2 linked regions of the Mus musculus genome follow. The protein of the gene in region 2 purifies or fractionates together with the protein of the main gene of each other region. This does not show direct contact. Links are inferred from orthologs where the notes say so. Each region holds a gene or a part of one and is shown on either strand. Other genes may lie near its edges.

Evidence for each region.
Region 1: the proteins of Gars (region 2) and Gfpt1 fractionate together in Homo sapiens (co-fractionation; 3 studies listed by BioGRID, with this or other methods). This does not show direct contact. The link is inferred for Mus musculus from reciprocal best matches to the Homo sapiens genes GARS1 and GFPT1.

The regions. Positions count from the first base shown.
Region 1 is NC_000072.6:87,055,471-87,061,304, forward strand, and holds part of Gfpt1 (glutamine--fructose-6-phosphate aminotransferase [isomerizing] 1), read left to right. Parts: intron 1-673; coding exon 674-732; intron 733-2,159; coding exon 2,160-2,294; intron 2,295-3,909; coding exon 3,910-3,971; intron 3,972-5,050; coding exon 5,051-5,130; intron 5,131-5,834.
Region 2 is NC_000072.6:55,043,608-55,049,441, reverse strand, and holds part of Gars (glycine--tRNA ligase), read right to left. Parts: intron 3,029-5,834; coding exon 2,927-3,028; intron 1,376-2,926; coding exon 1,273-1,375; intron 1-1,272. UniProt on the Homo sapiens protein: Catalyzes the ATP-dependent ligation of glycine to the 3'-end of its cognate tRNA, via the formation of an aminoacyl-adenylate intermediate (Gly-AMP).

The sequences.
Region 1 (5,834 bases), about 32 Mb from region 2:
ATTTTCATGTGACATTCCAGGAATGATCTGGACCTTCCCCAAATCAATTTATAGACGCTGGTAAATATGTAGGCATTAGTTCCCAAGCTTTATTTAGTGTCACTGGGATTGTTGTAGTTGGAAAGGACTTATGTTTAAACTCAACCAAGAATAAATAGAGACCTGAGTGTCCAAGTAGAGTAGTGCTCTACAAGTGAGGAGACAGGCACAGGAGACTTGCTCCTTTCATCCCCCAGTGCGAGGGTAGTAGCTTAGTGGAGCAGAAGTCAGAACTGGTGTGTTTCCTCATGTACACGCTCACTAACGCTGTGCGCATCAGCTCAGAAACAGTGCTGGGGAGCGCCTGCTGACGCCGAGGAGACCACTAGCAGATTACTTACTTTTTCCCTGGAGAAGAATCCATTTATAGATTTGTATAGGTGTGGTGGGTGACAGAGATGACAGGATGACCACTAGGTCAAAGCTGGCCTGGGCTACATAGTAAAACCTTGTCTCAAGAAAGGAGGGCTGGGAGAGTGCTTGCCTCGCATGGAGGGGTCCTGGGTTCAAACCCCAGGGCAACCACTAAGACAACAACCGGAGGGGAAACACAGCGGGAAGCCTATGCGTAATGATAGCTCTTCATAGCATTTACCAGACTCTAATATTCGGTCAATACTTTTATCTCCTCTAGAATTCATTGTTATTCATAATGGAATCATCACCAACTACAAAGACTTGAAAAAGTTTCTGGTAAGCGAGGTGACCCTGGAAGACGCCGTCTTCTGAGAGTGGGAGGTAGTTTGTTGGGGTGTGCAGCGTTATGCGGACATGTTCAAGTAATTACCATAATTATCTCCAGGGTGTGGCGTTTCATTGCATTTCTCTGCTGACAGTGGAACAGAATTGATTTCTCTTTTTTTAATAATTTATTTTATTTTTATTTTATGTGCATTGGTGTCCTGCCTAAATGCACGTGTGTTAGGGTGTCAGAAATTGGGGTTACAGACTGTTGTGAGCCGCCATGTGGTTGCTGGGAATCGAATCCCAGTCCTCTGGAAGAGCAGTCAGTGCTCCCAAGTGCTGAGCCATCTCCAACCCCACAGTTCTGATTCCTTACATGGCATTTTGAGGACAAGCTTTATTCTGTAGTGTGACAGGGCCATCTCAGTGTCGTCTGTTGAGTTTCTGCAGTGATGAGAACTCTCTGTATCTAGCATTGTGGGAGCTGTGCCTATAGGACCGCTGAACTGCTCCGACAGAGAAACTGGGTTTTAAGTTTTAGTGTAAATAACCATGCATAGCTAATGGATCTTCATTGGACAGTTGAGGATCACCAAATAACTGTTGCTCATGAAATTAGTATTTTGAATATTATATATCCTACTATATTTTCATTACAGTTTAATTCATATGCGGCAAATCTAAGTTAAGCCTTTTGAGTTGTATTTTGAATTCTCTACAATCAGATTTTAATTTTGATTAAAATTAATTTTAATTATTTTATTAACTATATTAATTGATTCTTATTTATTAAATTTGCCATTATAAATTAATTTTTAGGTAATTTAAATTTTGAGTAGAATAAATTCAGTATGACATCAAAAAAAGTTAGTAATTAGTAAGATCTATTAGGTTGATGAGGTGACTCAGTGGGTAAAGCGGTTGCCAGCGGACAGCGGTGAGTTTGTTCCCTGAAACCCACAGAAAGGTGGACAGCTAAAGCTGATGATGCCTCATGGTGGTCCTCTAACCCTCAAGCACACACCATGGTGACACATTTAGCCTGTACTTACAGACCTACACACGCATATATGTGTGCACACAATTAGAAAGGCATTTGGTTTTTGAGAAAAAAAAATCCTAGAAAATATTTGCTGCCTGGGGGCTGGAGAGCTGGCCCAGTGGTTTAGAAAACGCATTGCTCTTCAGAAGACTAATTCCCATCACCCACAGGATGGAAAACAACTGTCTGTAACTCGCCTTTCAGGGGATCTGATGCCTCCTTCTGAGCTGAGGGCACCAGTCATATTCATGCACAGACATACATAAATGCATACAATAGAAAGAAAAAAGATAATGTTGTTTTTTTAAAGTGAATAAAAAGGGACCATAAAATTAAAAAAATTTAACATTGTATATATTTAAGTGTGCCTTTTTTCCCTTTTCTCTCCTTGTAGGAAAGCAAAGGCTATGACTTTGAATCTGAAACAGACACAGAAACCATTGCCAAGCTCGTCAAGTACATGTATGACAACTGGGAGAGCCAGGACGTCAGTTTTACCACCTTGGTGGAGAGAGTTATCCAACAATTGGTATTAAACCATACTCTTAAAGATTATTGTGTTAGGACTAACTGGGGAAATAACTCATCAGGAAAGCACTTGCAATGCAAGTGTGAGGACTGGAGTTCAGGTCCCCAGCACCCACATAAGTGCTGGGTGGCTATGGTAGCCTCTTTGCAGTTCCAGCTCCCAGGAGGTGGTGGGCCTGGATTTTGCAGCGAGCTGTCTGGTTGGCTACATTAGTGAGGCAGCAAATTGTGGGTTCAAGTGAGAGACCCTACCTTGGTATGTACGGCAGAGAACAGTGGAAGGAGACAGCTAGCTCAAACCTCTGTCTTCTACCCATACTCACACATGTGCCTACACACCTCCATTTATAACCACAGCCATGTATGCCCACACACATACTAATAAACGTGACTAGCACACTCACACATGCAAGAAAAAGTAATTATGCTAATATTGTTTTCAAGTAGCTTTTTAAAAATGTTTGATGAACAGGAACTATGCTGGGTTTTTTTTTTAACTCATAGGAGTCTAACATTAGACAGCTATATTTGTGAGATATTTTATTGTCAATGTGTGTGTGTGTGTGTGTGAGTGAAGGCAGGAGACTGGCATTGGGTATCTTAAAACTGTTGTTGCTAATCTTTCATGTGAGTACAAGGGGTCAGAACTCATGCTCTGTGGGTAGCATTTTTCCAACAGAGCCATCTCCCCAGCCCTGTGCTGGTCTCCTGAGTGCTTTTTTAGGCTTTTATTACACATTCCCAGGCGCACATAGACACACACATATGCACAAACACAATTCAATGCAGGGAATTTTGTAAAACTGTTTTTTGACTTAGTAACTTGTTTTCCCTGGATTTACCATTCCATTTATTTTACAATAGCTATATTCTAACTATTTCACTGTAGTTAGAGGGTAAAAAGTAAGTAAGTGTTGGTGACAAAATGGCTCAGTAGACAAATTGCTGTGCAAGGCTGGCAACCTGAGTTTGCTCTTCGGAATTCACAGAGGAGAGAGCCAACTGCAGAACTGTTGCCCTCTAACATCTACATGTATGTTGGGTTTTTTTTTTTTTTTTTTGTTGGTATGTGTGTATGGGGTGGGTGGTGCTCCAGTGTGCCTACATGCGTGAACCTGTGTACACACGTGCAGAGGCAGGTGTTAACAGGGAGCCATCTCTCCACCTCATTTTAATAACTATGGTTGTATATAGTTGTCAAGTCCAAGACTGAGGGTAGAAGGTGGAGGTAGTGGTAGTGGGTGTGATGGGTTTTGGATGTGGAGCTTGACTTTCTGTTGGCTCTTCCTTCCTGAACAGACAAGTAGTCTGAGAGAGATGTGTCTGTTGAGAAACATGCTAGGCACACAGGTGACTCTCCGCTTTTTCATTGAGTATTGGAACGGGAGCTTGGTGGTCAGAGTTTGCTCACATCAGAGCTCGAGTCAGTGTCTACCTAAGATGCGGGCTTGGATATTAGGGAGATCTTGCTGCGGCATCTAAAATGGAGACTTGTTAAAAACTAACTCAAAGTACACAAGCGTGAACAGAAGTGTCTGAGCAGAATGTTGTATGTCCGAAATGCTTTGTTTGAGAATCGCTAACGAGAATACTACTGACGCTTCTTTCCCCCATAGGAAGGCGCCTTTGCTCTTGTGTTTAAAAGTGTCCATTTTCCCGGGCAAGCAGTTGGCACAAGGTACAATAGGTTTTCTTTTAAGGACTAACGCTGACATGCGTGTTGAAACATTCAGGTTACAGGGTACTTCTCAGTAACCTGTGGGTGGCCCTTCACCGTTTCCGTAGAGGTCTATTTTTATTCTCGGTTCCTTCTCTCTTTTAACAGAGTCTCTTAGGAAAGAGAACACATTTTGGCATTGTGATTTGTCTTTGGTGAGCACGGTGGCTCTTTATGAATTTGGATATGGAATATTTTTAAATTTTATACCCAAAGCATTAACCTTCTCCATATTTTTTGGAAATGCGTGTCAGACAGATTCCGAAGGAATTGTAGAACCACTGGTTTTGCTAGGATGTTTAGAAATGATCATGAAATTCTTAGGACAGTAAGAACATTTAAGATCTGGGGGGCTGGAGAGATAGCTCAGAGGTTAATAGCACTGGCTGCCCTTCCAGAGGTCCTGAGTTCAAATCCCAGCAACCACACATAGGCTCAAAACCATCTATAATGAGATCTGGTGCCCTCTTCTGGCCTGCAGTCATACATGCAAGCAGAGCACTATACATAATAAATAAATAAATCTTAAAAAAAAAAGAAGAACCTTTATGATCTGAAAACAGAAGGTCATCTTTAATCGGAAACAGGATGCCTAAGGATGTGTTGGTGTCTGTGTACAATGAAAAGTTCTTCACATTAAAAGAACAGTTTAAAATACAGTGTTAGAAGATATGAGTTAGTGGAGTCGGTCAGACAGGAAATATTTGAGTGTGTTGGGACACATGGCCTCCCTGCCAGCACTCAGAGCCACTGTCAGGCTTGAATGAAAGCAGCCGCAGAGGAAGGGCTTCACTGTCTCAGTGAGATTTTAATGCAATAGTAATTTGCCAGTTGAAAATTGTTTATTAGAAGTAGGCAGGTGTGGCCTGGGAACTCAGTTTTCTAATATAGTTATTTTGTAGTTCAATTCAGAGGGGAAATTAAATCATTTGAAGAGCATTAAATTTCAAATTAAAATGAATTTTGAATTCATACTTAAAATGTGTATTGTTAGTGCATTATTTATGGAGAAGGGTTGATTCTGACTCGTTGCATTTCAGGCGAGGTAGCCCTCTCTTGATTGGTGTGCGGAGTGAACATAAGCTTTCTACAGATCACATTCCGATTCTGTACAGAACAGGTAAGTTGCTGCATCACGTTGTAAGTGTGGTGCGGGAGCTCTGAGACGCTGCTCCATATGCTGCAGTGAATGTTCTCCGGTCGGATCTGTGTGTACTGTGCAGACAACTACATAGTTCTGTCTGGACAGAAAAAGCTTGTTGTGAACACTGACGAGAGAATTTTTCTCTGTTGTACATCCTTAGCTAGGACTCAGATTGGATCCACATGGTGGGGATCACAGGCAGAACGAGGTGGGAATGCACTCTGCACGGATGGAAGGGTTTCTCCTGCTTCCTTCATTTACTAATTCTTTGTTTTTGAAATGAACAGAGGCTCTAAAAATGTGCTTACTTTATGGGGAAATGTTTTGGCACTTTTCTAATTTGCAGAATACATCTTGTCTGTTTGCTTTTGCCATTTCGAAAGTTGCATTATTTAATAACTGTTTTGCAAAAGGGGAGGTTTGAGGAATATTTCAAATAAAGGCTTTTTTTTTCTCTTTCCTGTTTTATTTAAAATGATATAGATGCATGCTTATATTGGGAAAGGAACAGTGAAGTATGCAGCCATTTCCTGAGACTTAGCCTCACTCTTGACTGAACTAGATTTAAATGGTCTTTATTTAGTGCGTGACATTTTATTGTTATATTTACATTGATATTATAATTGATTTTATTTAATTTGCAGCCATACTTTATTTTTTATGTTTGAGGGTTTATCATT
Region 2 (5,834 bases):
TCCCTAACCCTAGCCCAGAGGCTAAATGAAAGATTGGTTCTCTCTAACTCTCGCTGGGGACACAAACTACTCCCAAGGGCAGGACACATGCCCAGCAGTAGATGCCAACAGAAAAGGAGCTCAAAGGTCATGCCAGGGTGCTTTCTTTTTCCTTCTGAAAATTTAATTTCTTTTATTTTTTTAATTCTTTTCTTTCTTTCCATCCTACGGGTCCTCTATGCGCGTATTATGGCTTCCAGTTTCATGTTCTTACGGGATTCCCGAGTGTGGGTGAGCACGTCTCTGTGCCTTTATCTGCTTCTTGGGCTTTCTCTTCTGTTTTGTTTCATTCCATTCCAATCTGGGTTTTTTTTTCCCTCTCTTATTACATTTATTCAATTGACCTTTAGATATCCGTTAGTTTTCCAGGGAGAGACAGAAAGGAGGTGGATATGGATGAGAGGAAAAAGTGGGAAGGAAAACTGGCGCACGCCTTTAATCCCAGCACTCGGGAGGCAGAGACAGGTGGATTTTTGAGTTCAAGGCCAGCCTGGTCTACAGAGTGAGTTCCAGGACAGCCAGGGCTACACAGAGAAACCTTGTCTCAGAAAAAGAAAAGAAAAAGAAAAAAAAGAAAACTATCCATTTAAAAAAAAAAAAAAGGCCGACAGGGCCGACAGTGGTGACACACACCTTTAATCCCAGCACTCAGGATGCAGAAGCAAGGAGACTCTAGGTTTGAGGCCAGCCTGGTCTACAGAGTTCTAGGACAGGACAGCCATGGCTACACAGAGAAACTGTCTTAGAAAAAAAATATATAAACAAAGAAATAAATTTTACAAGGGGGTGGGAGGGTAATTAACAGAGTGGGGAGTACTAAGAGTTTATGCAAATATCAACTCTTGAACAACAAAAATGTAAATTACATGACTTCTCTCCTTTATGGGATCTGACACAATTGAATAAACATCAGTTAGCAAGCCAAGCTCTTGACAAAGCATAGTGTGATTTAGATAAGTTTGGCCCCAAAGACACACTTTAGAATACTTGGCTCAAAGGAAGTGGTACTACTAAGAGGTGTGGCCTTATTGGAGGAAGTGTTGGGGTGGGCTTGAGGTTTCCCAAGCTCAGACTCTGCTCAGCGTGGAGAGACCCTCCTCCCAGCTGCTTGCAGAAGACAGTGTCCTGGCTGCCTTCTGATCAAGATATAGAACTCAGCTTCTTCTCCAGCACCCTGTCTGCCCCATGCTGCCATGCTTCCCATCATTCACTGTGGCTTCATTCACCCCCTACCTCCATAAATAGCAAAAGCCTGATCGTAGAAAAACCTCCTCTTCAACGTATCTTCCATTTTTGCTCTATCTACGATGTCATCTTTGGGCTGCAATGCCAGCTCCTATAAGAGCAAACAAGAAGAGAGTAATTGGACAGGTAGGCGGGGTTCTAACACATCTGAATTTGGTAGAATCCAGTATAAAATGCTAGAGATGTAAGACGTTGAGGAGCTAAAGTGGAGGCCTCAGTCCCCACAAACACTTTGAGCAGCAGTAAAGAAGCTGTGATAGTTTGGATCTTAAAGTCCCCAGCAGCTCAGAGTTGAAGGCTCATTGGCTCTCCAGTTGACAGTGTTGCTGGAAGTGATGGAAACACCACGAGACGCGCTCGCGCTCTCGCTCTCTCTGTCTGTCTGTGTGTGTGTGTGTGTGTGTGTGTGTGTGTGTGTGTGTGTGTGTTGAGGCAACAGTGTCCCTCCCCATGTCATTTGCACCACAGGTCTGAGCAAACAGGCTGAATATAGACAATAACGCCTGACACTCTAGCCCAATAAGCCTTTGATTCCTGAGATGTGTCGCTCACAGCAATGGGAAGCTGAATAATGCAGACACTGCTACTCACGTAGCAGATATGATTACTTACGATTGGAGTCTTTCTGCCTACAATCCCAGAATTGAGTTATCGAGCCAGAAGGAGTTTAAAGTCAAACTGACTACAGTAAGACTTGCTCTCAAGAAAACAAAAAACAGACAGGACTACTACACTTCTTTGAAGTAATTTAAGCAATATCTCAGTTTATAATGTATTATGTAAGACATCACTTTAAAACCTCAGCTGCAAGGCTCAGGAGATGGCCTAGCAGGTAAGTGCTATTGACTAACACAGGCCTGAATTCAGCAGCCCCCTCTGTACCCACATAAAAGCACAGTGTGGGGTCATGGATCTGTAACCCCAGCGTTGAGGAGATGGAGTCAGAGGATGTCAGGAGCTCACTGGCTGGCTAGTATTGCCAAACCGAGGAACTCCAGGGCCAGTGAGAGATGCCTGTCTCAAAAAATAAAAGGGACAGCAAGAAGGGACCCGACAGGTACCTCTGGCACTGAAGCACAGACAGACACAGACAACCCTCCCCCAATCCAAAACAAAACAAACTGACCTCTTGGACTATTTAAATTTAATGCTAGCAGGTTTACAGTTTGAAAAGGTCTGAAGTTAAATATAAGACAGATTATAACAAAACTATTAAATCTAATCCCAGGTGAATTCTTAAAGAGGAGCATGATGTCTTCTAGGAAATTCATGTATTTTATTATGTCTAGGACTGGGGGACAGTGAGAGTTTGGGTTCAGGTAGTGCGGAAGCTTTAGAGACTACGGGGCATTGTAAGCTGCACTTCGTTCTTGAAGCAGGGTCTAATGTGCTAGGCAAATGCTCCACCACTGAGCTACACAGCCTTGAGCAGCTCTCAGAGAAGACAAGAAGTTGGTTAGGTAGAAGGAGGAAAAGGCACAATGAATAATAAAAAAAAAAAGACCAAATGGCACTTGTTCAGAAAGCTTTTGAGTGGCACTTGTTCAGAAAGCTTTTGAGATCTTTCCTACCTGGAGAGATTAAACAAAGAGGAATAAGCCTACACCTACTGACGTTTCTGCCTTAGCATCCTAAGACTTACCTTTGCTTCCAGAACCCTCTTCCGGGCCTTGAGCTCAGCTACTGCTCTGTCCACATCCACTTGTGGGGCTTTATCTTCTTTTAACTTCCGTACAAAGTCTCCCTGGCCAACAAACAAGCTACAATCAGGACTGGTTTCAGAAATCAGCAAACACTAGTGCTCTTTTTAAACATGCACTTAAAAAGTATTTGTACACAAATACCAATTGCACGTGTTTATTCTGTAAGAAGTCTGTAAGAAGTATCAATAACTGAAGGCCTGTGTCCACAGCATGCACTGTCCAGGAGAACATAAGTAAGTGGGTTCACACGGTGAGTCTGTGGGGAGAGAACAGCGCTCACCTACATATGGACGACTGACACTGAATGTTCAGGCAGGTTACCAGCACATCAGACACACTGAAGAGAGAATTAGTCACCTAAGAGACAGACTTTAAAAGTGCCTGGAACAGTTCAGAAAGCCAGAGTTTAAACCCTCGGGCTGGTAAAGAGCAGTAATCTAATACATTCAATTAGAATGTATAAGAAAGTAAAAAAAAAAACAAAAAACAAAAAACTTTTAAGAGGCAAAATTTGGGAAGATGGTTGACTATAAAATGTCACCAATTAACGGATCAGCACAAGAAAATCCAAACATACACACACAAGATGCCACACCTGGGCAAGCCACAGTAAAGGCTGCTGGGATTTAAAGACTCAGCTTTCACTTCCTATCAGTGAACTGTGAAACCTGGAACAAACTGGAAATCTCTCTGGACTCCCGAGTATGGTAAATCCCTGCAGACTTACCCCCATCTCCTGGGCTGTTACAGAACACTACCAAACCAACTACTGCAATAATAGTATGTGTGCAAAATGGCTAACAGCTTTTGTTCTGCTTGCAGGTACCTCAGCCTGGCTGTGGCCACAGATGCTTCAAGCCAAATCTGTTCCACACTGAATCGTTTTCTGTCTCTCAGGAAACATCAAGCTATGCTTCTTTAGCTCCAACACCTCACTGACTTCACTTCCCTATTTACCCTCTCCCCATCTGACAAGATGCCAGCTTGTCCCATCTCAAATCATCTAACACTAACATGAAACTAGTCCCAAATAACCTCAACTTTAGTGTTGTCATTTTTAAGCTTTACTTTCTGAACACAAACCACCCTTAGCTTGGTAACTGTCTCTACCTTGTGCTCAGTGTCCATCTTCCTACCACTGTGTGTCCCTGAGCTGTGTTTCTCATATTTCCAAATACTCCAACCTGGCTGCCCCCAACGCTGTCCCTCGCAGAAGCACCTTTTTCTCCCATATACAAAGGGCTGAGAGGGTAGTCATGTTTTCTTTACTGTCTTCCCTCCTGAGATCCTAGGCCCTGGAGGGATCCTTAGCATTCTCCTCTGGCTTTCCAAGTCCCCACTCCTCCCTTCATTCATGACAGCCTCTTCTAGAACCAATGTTCTCTAGATATTCCAGGCAGAAAGTACAAACAGAACAAGAACCAATGACACACACCAGAACCCAGTGCCAGCTGTTTCTGCCCTTCAGAACCTCCTAGTGCATTTCCCAGGAGTGAGCACGGTAAATGTGACATAAAGGCTATACCTTATGCTGTGGGTAATTTTTATAAAGAAGTATTCATTGGCTGAGAAAAAACTGTTCAATATTTGGAAAAACACAGCATTAACCACGGCAATGCTGCTGGTATCTAAGCAACCACACATGATGTCTTTACCAGTGCACACGCACAGCAACTGCAGGAGGGTAAACCTGGGCAGGGGCTTAAGCATCCGCTTGGCTCATTACCGCTCCCAGGAGACAGACCAGAATGTACACACTGAAATACTCAGTGCTTGGCTGCTAATGTATCAAACTCCTTCTCTAACTCTTCATATAGCACTATCTGCACACACACGGTTTACTTAGCTGAGCTGGGCACAGTGGTGCTCAGCAGCACTCCAAGGTCTATGATCTGCAGAGACCCCACCTCAAGTAGATTAAGTAACTAACTTCGTTTGACATCCTCTATGAGTTTCACTACAACAACAGGGAATTTTGATGTAAAAAGGAGGCAGCATCTGACATGGTGGAGAGCCATGCTATCAGCCTCTCTCCCCTCTATCACACTCAGTTTCTATTCTATCTCAGCATCAATGTTCCAGGCACCCTCAAACGTCATCTCATCTGCCTCACAATACTTGTGATCCAAAAGTGGACGTTCTGGCTTGTTTAACGTACTCAGATGCAGTCAGAAAAACCTTCAGACATGTCCATTATGACACTCAGGCGTCTGTTGGCTGATACCATTAACCCAGTATGCCAAGCACCCAGCACTCAGTACTAGCTACTGACCCACTCTCCACTCCTTGAGGGGCTCCTCAAGGGTGTTAGAACGTCCACCCCATATGCTTTCTCAAGAGGAAATGAAGCCTGTATGAGCCTTTGTACAGGAGAGGTGGCAAGAGGTCCTTTTCCGTGTTGGAAGCACTCAGGTGAGTCCTCTTTAAAACCTCCCCAGTGTGTTAATTATAGGCTCCCATATCATCTACTTCCTCCTGGAATTCTCACCAGGCACTGTGGAGCCATACCATAGGTATTGAGTAGAAAGGATTTAAAATGCACTATCCCAAGTCACTTTTAGTCTTTTGAGGCACAGGTATTGAGTGGCCAGCCTTCATATGAGAGTCCTGTGAGGGAGGCTTCCTACCGTTGAGGTCACTATCTTTCCAGCCTAGCAAAGAAGGGGAAATTCACATTTATTCTGAGTAATATAGAGAAATTAAGATCTCAATTTATTTTAAACCAAAAAAAAATCAGAGATGCCTTAGACTCAAGGATTCCTACTAGTTAACTATTTTTCTTCAGCACCCAACCTCATCTTGGGGCTTCTGTGAGCACAGTGAATGGAACTGGCCTGTACTGCATCA